3 linked regions of the Lytechinus pictus genome follow. The protein of the gene in region 2 interacts with the protein of the main gene of each other region in a biochemical or structural test. Links are inferred from orthologs where the notes say so. Each region holds a gene or a part of one and is shown on either strand. Other genes may lie near its edges.

Region 1 (3,760 bases), on a different chromosome or scaffold from region 2:
CAAAGTCAATGATAAATGAACTCTCAGCCAATCAGATATAAGGATTTCAGTAGCTTATAACAGTTGCCAATGAAAACCATCGACAAGACACTTCATGAAACGGTCCCCATAACTGTCTTTCAACAACTTACTGATGCTTGTGATGTTACTCTAGCATTGCGCCCCAAGTCTCCCATAGCTCCTAGAATGTGCTGTACGATGTTCTAAAATTAAAAATTAATATGAATATGCAATGAAAGTTATATTATTTCTTTCAATCTTGAAAAATTTATATTTTTTTAAAAGTAGGTCTTTACTGAACAGCTGTATAATAATGTCAGCAATGAAATATAAAAAATAAGAATTCTGGAAAATATCAATAAATATTATAAACTTCTATGTCTTTCGTGTTATGTATTCTTTGTCTTTTCCACATGTAATTTATTATTTTTCTGTTCATTTTATGCAGAGAAAAATAAACTTGAATTGAAAATGGATCTCTAAGAATCTGATTACAAATTCTTTTCCAACAAATGTGGAGAAGAAAAACTTGGAGAAAGGCTGTAACCACCTGATTAATGTTAAATAATGAGGATGGTCATTGGATAATAGAACAGCTGATTACTTAGAACGATGAATCAATCACTGAAACCAGGAACAACAAAAATAAACGAGGAGGGTTTGAATAAAGGCCCTTGACATATTGCTAGCATAGCATACATGTCATTGCTACTATAATCTTTGAATATCAGAGATGGTGTAATACTTTGCTGACCTTTGCTTTTGGTCTTGTCTTTAATAGGCAGAGTCAATTATATGCAGTCTAAATGAGAAATTAATGTCTCATGGCCTCAAAACTCCAAAATCATGTCTTTGAATCAATCGCTAATCAATGTATACATACCTGAACCTCGTTAGAGTTTGCAGAAAGACCAGGCTGCTGAGATGGGGCAGAAGTAGTGGAAGAACCGCCTCTCTGTTGCTGGGAACCACTCGCACTGGTGGTTGCAGGTCGTGGGGGCGCCCTCTCCACCAGATGCATGACCTTTCCATGGAGGTTATACTCGGACAGCTTCTTCTCATCCTTGAGGACTTGACCGCCGTAAATGAGACGTTGAGTGGCAGCTGCAATGCCCTGAAAGCGATCATGTTAAAGAGATTACATTAACAAAACGAATCCTACTTAAAGCAAATTATGAGCCAGCACCCTTGTTTCGCACCACATAAAGTCCTCAACTACTTGAATCTGGCCTGGTTCCTTACTCATAATGCAACATTCTTGTCAAATATACCCACTTGAATGAAAACACACTAATTTACTACTCAATACATTCATACTGAAAACACATGTAATGATTGTATAGTTGAAAATTGAACATAATTTTATTTCAATCAAGGTTACTCACAAAATAAGCCATTTACTTTTGCTGAAAGTTTTGCTTAAAGCCAATTAGATGAATTAATCAATCCTGTGACTGTAATTCCCATGGCCTCAATTGATCTTCTTAAAGAACATTCATTTCCTGTGAGTTACGTATGTATATACAGTCATTGAAGGATTTTATTTGAAGAATTCACATGAAATTCCTTTAATGATATATGTAGGCCTACAGTGCTACTCTTCTTTGTAAATAAGTGATAGGAGAAAATATCTTACCACAGAACCTGCAATCTTTTCCTTGAAATCCTTCACCGTCAACTATTACAATTAAAGAAAATAAATAAGGTATAAATACATATAAATACTTCCAATTCATATCTAAACAATGAGAATGAATTAAGAAATCATACAAATTTGCTCAATATAAATGTTGTATTAACGATAAATGTTTCCTGATTTTTCTATACACTTAATATATGAATCATCTCTTGCTGAAGTGTAATTTTTATCATTTCCCATTCATTTAAATTACATTGGCATTGTTAATTAACATGTTGTTGTCAATTGAAATTATCATAGCTAATTAAAGTGGTATTGTAAACTGAAAATAAAATGCAATATTGTACATTATGAATTATAATATTATAAAGTATGAATTTTATGAATTTTAGTAAGCAATTAACCAGAGGATCCGTTTGAAGATTTTAAGTCTGCTAAAAAGGACATGGAGCCTCTTTCATAAAGAGTTACAACTATGGTTGCTTTACAATTATGACAACTACCATGGAAACCTTGATTGTGATTGGCTGCTGAGCCCGGTTACCATAGTAGCTACCATAATGGTAAGTTATATGTTGAAAGTCCTTCATGATATGGGCCCCTAATATTAAATGAGGGTCAATACCTTACCAATTGGCACTAAAGGACAATAACACATCAACTCTGAATCAAACCTATGTTCACTGGATAACAGAACCAAATGCTTCATCAATGGAGCTTTTGCACCTCCTAATTATTATTACTAATCACTGACATAATCTGTATTATCACTATCATCAGGGGCAGATCCAGGATTTTCTAAAGGGGGGGGGGGGGGTATTTTGTACAGGAAAAATATGACAAGCAAAAAAAAAAGTCCTGAAATGCGTATGCATGACAAAATCCCCTAAGATATCTTCTTGTGCCTTTCAAAGGGTGGAGGGGGGGGGGGGCCATGGGCTGGATGTGCCCCTACCTGGATCCACCACTATCATTCATTATTATATTGAGAAGAAATAAATCAAGCAAACTTACATCCTCTGATACAGAGAATTGCCTGGTTTGTGAATCCAGGGTCTTTACAGTAATATCAATCATTATGATCCTCTCTCTCCCTACTCTGTTGTATCAAGCTTTGATCCTAAATCTAAAGAAAAGTAAAGATAAAGTAAAAAATTAAATGACAGGATACTTCACACCACAAAATCTAACAAGTGGAAAGCTTCTGGCAGTCTCGCCTGCAGCACTTGTCTAATTCAATATAGCAGCAGTGCTGACTTGATGAAAAAATAATATGCAACTTTATATAGCTCTTAATGCAATGCATACTATTACCTGGGCTTTAGTATGGCTATCCTGGGGAGCTGTTGATCAACAGTTTTGTCCAACAAGTTGTCAGATCTGACAAATTTCCTTGAATCTGACTCCCCTGATCAGACGCTCGAGGCAAGCATTCATACTGGGTAGGGGAGAGTGGGGTAAATAAAGCCCCATTTTTCATAATTCCACTCATATTTGTTTAATGCAAAGCAGTAGAAACATGATTAGATGTCAAATATAAGGTCTACAGCAGACATACATTATCCAATAGAAATATAAGATCTAATCAATCCCATTTGCATATTAATGAGCCTTAAATATTGTTGTCAGCGCGCCTTATTTGCACATCAAAATGGGGCAAATGAGTCGCCTTGATTAAAAACTATTTTCAAAGCTGTATTCAAAGTAATAATAGTTCAGTTGGTTTGATACAATCACTGAACATTTAATAACAATCACAGGATTGATATTTAATTATTTTCCCAAAGGCCCCCATTTAAGGATCTATTTATAATAATAATAATAATATTCTGCATTTATATAGCGCTTAACACATCGAAACGACGTCTCTAAGCACTTTACAGATATATTATCACCCCAGTCATCGGATCCTTGCATGCCCGCATACAATGTATGCACCTTCTCCACTCCCTGGGGAGCATTCCAACAAGAGTTCCAAGACTCAATTGCTAGGCATACTACATAGGCTTTCGCATCCTACCGGGTACCCATTTAACACCTGGGTGGAGAGTGGCAAATTGTGGATTGACGCCTTGCCAAAGGCGTCAATTATATCCAATATTATGAAAAAAAATTATTGTT
Region 2 (3,760 bases):
ACCTGCACTTCTGGGGACTGTTTCATAAAACAATTAGTCTAGGATTTACACTGAAAAATGATACAAGCTACTGAAATCACTGTATCTGATTGGCTTTGAATACACCTACTGTACAAGTAAAAACAAAATAAAAGACAAAATGAAAGACTTCGCTGATAACTCATTAAAACAAAATGGCTCTTTACTCACATATTCAAACCTGTCCTTGGAAAGTTGGGCAAAACCATGAAGGAAAGCTAGAATAGCGAACCATCCAACCCAGAGAACCAACTCCTCTAGAGTCTGAACATTGAGTACACCAAACACCACAATGAGCTTGTAGAAAGAGAAGTTCCACAACTTGTCTCGAAGATGCTAGAAAGAAATATGCAAGGTACAACATTATAAAAGGACAATAGATAATGTTGAAAACAATAAAGGGCACATATTTGGTAAACAAGAAATAGATTTGACGCTAGTGAACAACCATGACCAGTACTTACTCATTCAATTTTCTCAGGTATGTCCCAGGAATGACCAAGATATTTCCAAGAGCCAACCTTACTATCAACCCTTTCATCCACTTTGAATTTATCAATCAATCAATCATGGCAAACTAGTCCTGTCCCATTTCATAAAACTTTTTATAATTACAAATATGCAATAACAGTAATATACGTAAGCTATTGAAATCATTAAATTTGATTGGTTGATGGTAAACTTGTTAGTCTTTATGAAATGGGAAACAGTGCCCCATTGCAGAAAAGCTATCAATCATTATGGTAACTATGCCATCCAGTGGTAACTTGCATGGAATCCTTGATTGGCTGTTGATCAGTGTTACCATGGTAGTTACCATTGGATGGCACAGTTATCAAAATAGAAACTTTTATGCAACAGGGCCCAGATCAAACAAAATCATTTTGATGGTATCTTATGATGTGCAGTGCTTAGTACTTATTAAAAAGCCTGATATAATCCCAAAACTGACCATTACCGTAATTGAAATTTGGGCTACACAGGGATGGCACAAACATGTAAATGTAGGCTTGATAAACAAAGTCTGAACATCATCCAGAATAGTCCAGGATAGAAGGGGTCGAACCTTGTTTTTTTATATATACAATGTTTTTTTATGGTTTCTTGTCAATTAGAGGGTGCTGATTCCGAATCTGAATGATGCCACTCGTGTAACCTTGAGCATTTTCTGCAAATTGGCAAAATCCAATATGGCCGCTAAAATATCCAAATTACCCATGAAAATCATAAAATTGTCCACACATTGGCTATAAAGTACATGCAATTGTGCTGCCGGAGTGAAATAATATCTGAAAAAATTATTTTTGTCAAAATATTTATTTTCTTGATATCAAAATGGCCGCCATCATAGACCCCTGTACAACATGAATGGGGAAAATTAATTTTTACAAACTTGAGCAATGAAAATGCAAGTAATTATAATCTATGAGTGAAGCAATGTCTGAAAACATGATTGCTAACGATATATATCATTTTTTATGTCAGTTATGTGATAAATCCTGTATTTTGATATTCAAAATGGCCTCCAAAAGCCCTAACACTATTATGTACAATGTGAATGGTGACAAAAAAATCACAAGAGTGAGCACTAAAATGCATTTTGTTAAGATAAACGAGTGGAATACTGACTAAAAACATTATTAACGAAATTTATTATTTAACATGCCATGTATGTGATAAACCCTGTATATTGATATTTAATATGGCCGCCAAAGGCCCTAGAATTATGATCTACGATGTGAGAGAGGACAAAAACAATCACAATGTGAGCACTAAAACGCATTTTTTTGTGGTAAATTAGTGGGATACTGTCTTCAAATATAATTTGCAACGAAATATATTATTAAGGGTATCATATTTGTGTTAAATATTGCATTTTCACTTTCAAAATGGCCACCAAAAGACATTGACTGTATTATGTACAATCGATCTGGGAAACCAATTTTCACAGGAGTCAGCACCATAACATGCATATAATTGTGATTTAAGAGTAAAATATTGTCTGAAAACATAATTTTTAACAAGATATATCATTCATTCTGCCAGGTAGGTGATAAATAATGTATTTTGAAAGTCAAAATGGCCGCTACAGGCCCTAACGGTAGGCCTATTATGTACTTTGTGAATGGGAACATATAATTTTAACAGAATTTGGCTTTGCTTGACTAAAATGGTGTTGCATGTATGGATGAAATATTGTCTGAAAATACGATTTCTAACCAAATAGATAATTTCTTATGTTATTTAGGTGATAAATGCTATATTTAAAATTCAAAATGGCTGCAATATGTTTTTTTTGTGTGGAAATTATCTTTCCCCATTCAAATTTTACATATTAAGATAAGGGACTATCGGGCGGCCATTTTTCATTTTTAAAAGGCAGCATTCATCACCTTTATGACACAAGCTATGATATATTTCGTTAGAAATCATTGGGTTTAGACAATACTTAACACTTTTATCAAAATTAAGCCATTTTCGTAGTAAAAATTCTGTCAAAATTAGCTGTCCCCAGTTACAATGTACATACTACTTTTGGCTATTGCATCAATTTTGAATTTTAAAGTAAGGCCTTTATTACCTTCTTAACCATTATGTGATGTATTTAGTCAGAAATCATGTTCAAGACCAAATTTTACCTATACATCACATAGTTACGTGCGTTTTTTGTTCTCATTCTGGTGATTATTAGTTTCCCTATACGCATGTTACAGAATTTATAATGGCTTGTGCGGCCGTTTTGAAAGTCAAAATACAGTATTTATCACCTATATGGGAGAGGAAATGTTATATTTAATAAAAAAAAAATCAAGTTTTCATACAATATTTTCCTTATACAACAGAATTATATGGATTTCATAGTCAGGCAAATCCTAATTCTTCCAAAAGTATTTGTCCCCATTTATTTACATTGTAGATAATACTGTAAGGGCCCATAGGGGCCATTTTGAATTTTACAATACAGCATTTATCTCATACATGAAAAAGGAAATGATATGTTTCGCTAGAAAACATGTTTTGAGACAATATTTCACTCGTAGATTACAATTACATTCATTTTACTGTTTTTAATCTTGTGAAAATTAGTTTCTTCATTCGCTTTGTTCATAATACAGATAGGGCCTATGGCAGCCATTTTGAATGTAAAAATGCAGCATAATTACCGAAATTGCAAGGGAAATGATATGTTTCGTTAGAAATCCTTGTTGTCAGAAAGTGTTTCACCAATATTTCGCAGTTATTGGCATTTTAAAGTCAAACAAATTCAAAGGTTGTGAAAATTATTTGTCCCCTTTTATAATGGGTCTATGACAGTCATTTTGAATATCATAATACAGCATTAATCACATTAGATAGTATACAAATGACATAGTTTTGTTAAAAGTCATGTTTTCAGACAGTAGTCCACTCGCAGGTCACAATCACATGCAATAATAGTGCTCATGTTAAAAAAAAAAATTCCCCATTCATATTCTACATAATAAGGTATACAGGGGTTATGGCGGCCATTTTGAATATCAATAAAATAAATATTTTATCAAATATCGCTTTTACAACGGGTATTTCACTTCTGCACAACAACTACATGCATTTTATAGCTAATGTGTGGGCAATTCTATGATTTTCATGGGTAATTTGCATTTTTTGGCGGCCATATTGGATTTTGCCAATTTGCGGAAAATGCTCAAGGTTACAAGAGTGGCATCATTCATATTCGGAATCAGCACCCTCGAATTGACAA
Region 3 (3,760 bases), on a different chromosome or scaffold from region 2:
GTCTCACTTGTTGGGCAAGTTTCTCGAACCTTCCTGTCTAGTTCTTCCCAAAGCAGCTCGATGGGATTGAGATTGGGGACTGGGGCGGCCAATCCATGATTTCCAGGACTTGTTTCTCTTCCTTTTTCTTCAAGTAGTCTTTGCATAGTCTTGACGTGTGTTTTGGGTCATTGTCCTGCTGGAAAACGAATCCTTCTCCGATCAGGCGTTTCCCTGAAGGGATGGCCTTCCGCTGTAGGATAGAATGATAGCCGTGCTGGTTGAGGATACCCTCTACTCTGTGCAAGCTGCCTACCTTTCCTGCACCAAAGCAACCCCAAACCATGACATTACCACCACCATGTTTCACAGTTGGCTTGATGCACTGGAGTAGCATCTTTTCTCCCTTTCGCCGTCTCACATAGGTAAGTCGCTTGCTGCCAAACACCTCGAACTTTGATTCGTCAGACCAAAGAACCTTCTGCCACTGCTCCAAAGACCAGTCTTTATGCTTCCTAGCCCAAGCAAGCCTTTTCTTCCGGTTCTTTTCTTTGAGGAGTGGTTTCCTTGAAGCCACACGGCCCATCAGCCCTGCTCCACAGAGACGTCTTCTAACAGTTGAAGAACATACAGGCATCTCACGGGTGTTGTTGAGGTCAGCTGTAATCTGTGGGCAAGTCAGACAACGGTTGCGCAGACTGCTCACCCGAATGTATTTATCTTCAGCAGGAGATGTTGTTTTGGGCCTACCACTTCGTCTCCTATCCCCATTAGACCCAGTGGCCTCTTTGCGTTTCAGGCTGTAGTGAACAGCATGGATACTGATCTTGAGTTTCCTGGCTATTTCTCGCATGGAGTAGCCTTCTTTCCTCAAAACTACAATTGACTGACGTGTTTCCAAAGAAGGCTGTCTTGTCTTAGCCATTTTGATTTTGTGACTGACTTCTGATTAAGAAAAACTGAATAGGCAAAATGAATGAAGGTGCACTGGAATAAGTGTAAAAAAACTCTGAATAACTTTTGAATTCATGAATTTCAAATTGCACTGATGTCTACTCCACTTCCATGCATTTTCTTTAAAGAAGGATTAGGCATTTGTCAAGTTCAGATGTTTTCCAGGATAAAGATGCAGATTTCCATAAATTAACTGTCTTATGAACAATACTGAGCAACAAATTCTGGGGACATCTGCTGTAACATTCACAAAATAATGGGAAGAATTTCAGAATAGAACCCCAAACAGAATGCCATCTTGACTGGTAGCCTGCCCTCTTTGGCAGCTGCACGTCTCTTAAGAGCTTTGAATTTGTTTGATTCAATGATAAAATGTACACTGGTGTATAGCCTTCACTTTAAAACAAAAGTACAGCTGTACTATGAGGCTTAACTTCAGTAAAGTCTACCAAAGTTCGAAAAACACACACTGAAGGCAGGTGTTTCCAAACTTTTAGGGGGGAGTGTATGGGTTCTGGCATATGGGATTTGGAACTGATCAGGGGAGCGTTTCATCAATATTTTTATCCGACAAGTTGTCAGATCTGACATCTTTCCCTGATTTTGATTGGCCGAGAGGCACTGTTCCCATGGTAACTGTCGGATAAAATGGGACTTGTCGGATAAAACGTCCGACAAGTCCTTTCATGAAACGCCCCCCAGGATTTCCACGTGTACATGGTCCAGTTGATTTGATGGAATAAACTGGTCATCCATGATCCGGGATGTCAATAAGCGTTGATTATTGCATAACGAGTATATACAGACATTCTGTAGACCTACATGCCGATATGACGTATTGTTCAACGCCACTGATCTGAATACTATAATAAAAGGACTAAAGATAGTGGACAGATCAGTGTTCAACACCCCTTTTTGTGAGTTACCTCTGCATCGATCGCAAGCTGATGCAATTAGGCAAAGCATTGCCCGAGATCAAAGGGAAGCACCCTTTTGGTGATATATTGCCATTACAGTACACGACATTTTCCAAGAGTGTTCCTGTACATGACACAAAATGTCTTTCTCGATATTCGGATTCAAGATTTCATTGCCCATTGTTGGAGCAATAGCTGCTTTGCTGTTCGGGTAAGTAGATATAGGCCTATTTATGATATTTCTTCTCGTAAGGCTTACGCTACGTTAACAGTAATATTTAAAACCGAGTTTGAATAATAGACTAAAAATGGGCCCTATCTTCAATTTTTTTTTTCAATCACATTTCCTTCATGTTGTTCTCTTTATTCTGAGCTTTGAACCTAGTTTGTTTGCTCGGTTGAACTAATGTAATCATTATTATACATTCAACATAGATGTTCCTGTAAAACATGGATTCATTCATTGTAAAGTTGTAGATTCTTAGCTCCGCTAGATGGACACTGGATGCACGTAATCAATGTATTTGTTAATTCGCATCCACACCATAGCTGTCAACAGTATGAATATAGGCCTACGTACACCAAAGGTGTTCAGTACAGACTTAACATAAAAAGAAGAAGTTCCTGTACTCCGATAGATCAAGAGATTGACCAGCGTTATTAACCCCCTCAGTTATATCATGGATAGTCAATAATTTCATATAGCGCTCCATGGTAGCTAGGCCTATACATACAAAGATTACACAATTTAATTCTACACTGAATGGAAGTGGTGTACCAAGTATGTTTCCGGTTCTGCCAAGGTGCAGTGGTTCAAAAGTCCCCATCCATCATCGACCTCCTCGATCGGCTCCTGGCCTGTTCGTAAAAGTAAAAAAAAAGTATTGTGGTCTAAACTAAATTTCGATAATATCATAATCTAACCATATATATATATATGTATAATCTATATCGGTGTGAGTGGGGAATCAAGTATGGTTTGCTAAGGTGTGCCTATCAATAGTTGTTTATACAACTGATTATACCCTCATTTGCATAGCTTTAAGTAACTTTGCGTCTCAAAATTCATACAATTCCCTGTGTGAAGCATAGAGTGCCGTGAATGCTGGTACTACTCATGTATATTCGGTTTTGGGGGCTATTTCTCTAAGCTGATACCATTGTGAAAACTGTGAAGGACGGCTGAAGGGGAGGTATAACATTAAAATTGATATGTGCAAATTGATATATATTATATCAATTAATAATATGTCTGCAAACAATGATCAGTTCTAGACGTTCTGAATAACAGAAATAATTAAAGATCACACCACACAAGTCATGTTATATCTGAAAGTTTAAAACGTATGATCATCTTTTTCTAAAGTTCGGAATAATGCTAATACGTCTTAAACATTATTAAAACAAATCTTTACTATGTGATCGGAGTAGAACTCGGCTTCAAATTGCAACAGATGGCAAGATTGATATGACGTTAACCTACGTGCTGCCATGTCGGACAAAGAAAATCACAAGCGACTGTTTGTCCGTCGATAACTTGAATGCGAGACCCATAAAATTTTACTTCCATAATACGTAATGGTGGTTAGGCCACCTATTTTTGTTGGTACTATAATTTTGTCATTTTGTAAGCACCATTGACACAATTACTATCAACATTATTCATGATTTATATATTTATCACCAGCCAGGAGCTATGGAACCTAACCTACCTTTGGAGGAAAGGAATCAAGGGCCCAAGACCCCTGCCATTGTTAGGCAATATTCTTTCCTGCACAAAGGTAAATTATGAGATGGTAAAAAAGGTTCGATATAAACCTTACAGATGGGAATTGTGAACTGATAACTTTTAAGTCATAATTGCTTGAACATTAACGGAGATTCCTCTATTGTTCAGGGGCCGCGGAACG

The links.
Region 1: the proteins of E3 ubiquitin-protein ligase AMFR-like (region 2) and large proline-rich protein BAG6-like form a complex in vitro, tested with the Homo sapiens proteins (2 studies listed by BioGRID, with this or other methods). The link is inferred for Lytechinus pictus from reciprocal best matches to the Homo sapiens genes AMFR and BAG6.
Region 3: of the proteins of E3 ubiquitin-protein ligase AMFR-like (region 2) and cytochrome P450 3A24-like, one has a biochemical effect on the other in vitro, tested with the Homo sapiens proteins (4 studies listed by BioGRID). The link is inferred for Lytechinus pictus from reciprocal best matches to the Homo sapiens genes AMFR and CYP3A4.

Annotation. Positions count from the first base shown.
Region 1 is NC_087259.1:30,468,856-30,472,615, reverse strand, and holds the start of large proline-rich protein BAG6-like, read right to left. Parts: upstream 2,785-3,760; 5' UTR 2,717-2,784; coding exon 2,654-2,716; intron 1,679-2,653; coding exon 1,637-1,678; intron 1,115-1,636; coding exon 884-1,114; intron 204-883; coding exon 132-203; intron 1-131. UniProt on the Homo sapiens protein: ATP-independent molecular chaperone preventing the aggregation of misfolded and hydrophobic patches-containing proteins.
Region 2 is NC_087246.1:24,899,389-24,903,148, reverse strand, and holds the start of E3 ubiquitin-protein ligase AMFR-like, read right to left. Parts: upstream 2,612-3,760; coding exon 2,600-2,611; intron 355-2,599; coding exon 190-354; intron 1-189. UniProt on the Homo sapiens protein: E3 ubiquitin-protein ligase that mediates the polyubiquitination of lysine and cysteine residues on target proteins, such as CD3D, CYP3A4, CFTR, INSIG1, SOAT2/ACAT2 and APOB for proteasomal degradation.
Region 3 is NC_087251.1:35,008,511-35,012,270, forward strand, and holds the start of cytochrome P450 3A24-like, read left to right. Parts: upstream 1-1,248; 5' UTR 1,249-1,990; coding exon 1,991-2,061; intron 2,062-3,537; coding exon 3,538-3,631; intron 3,632-3,760.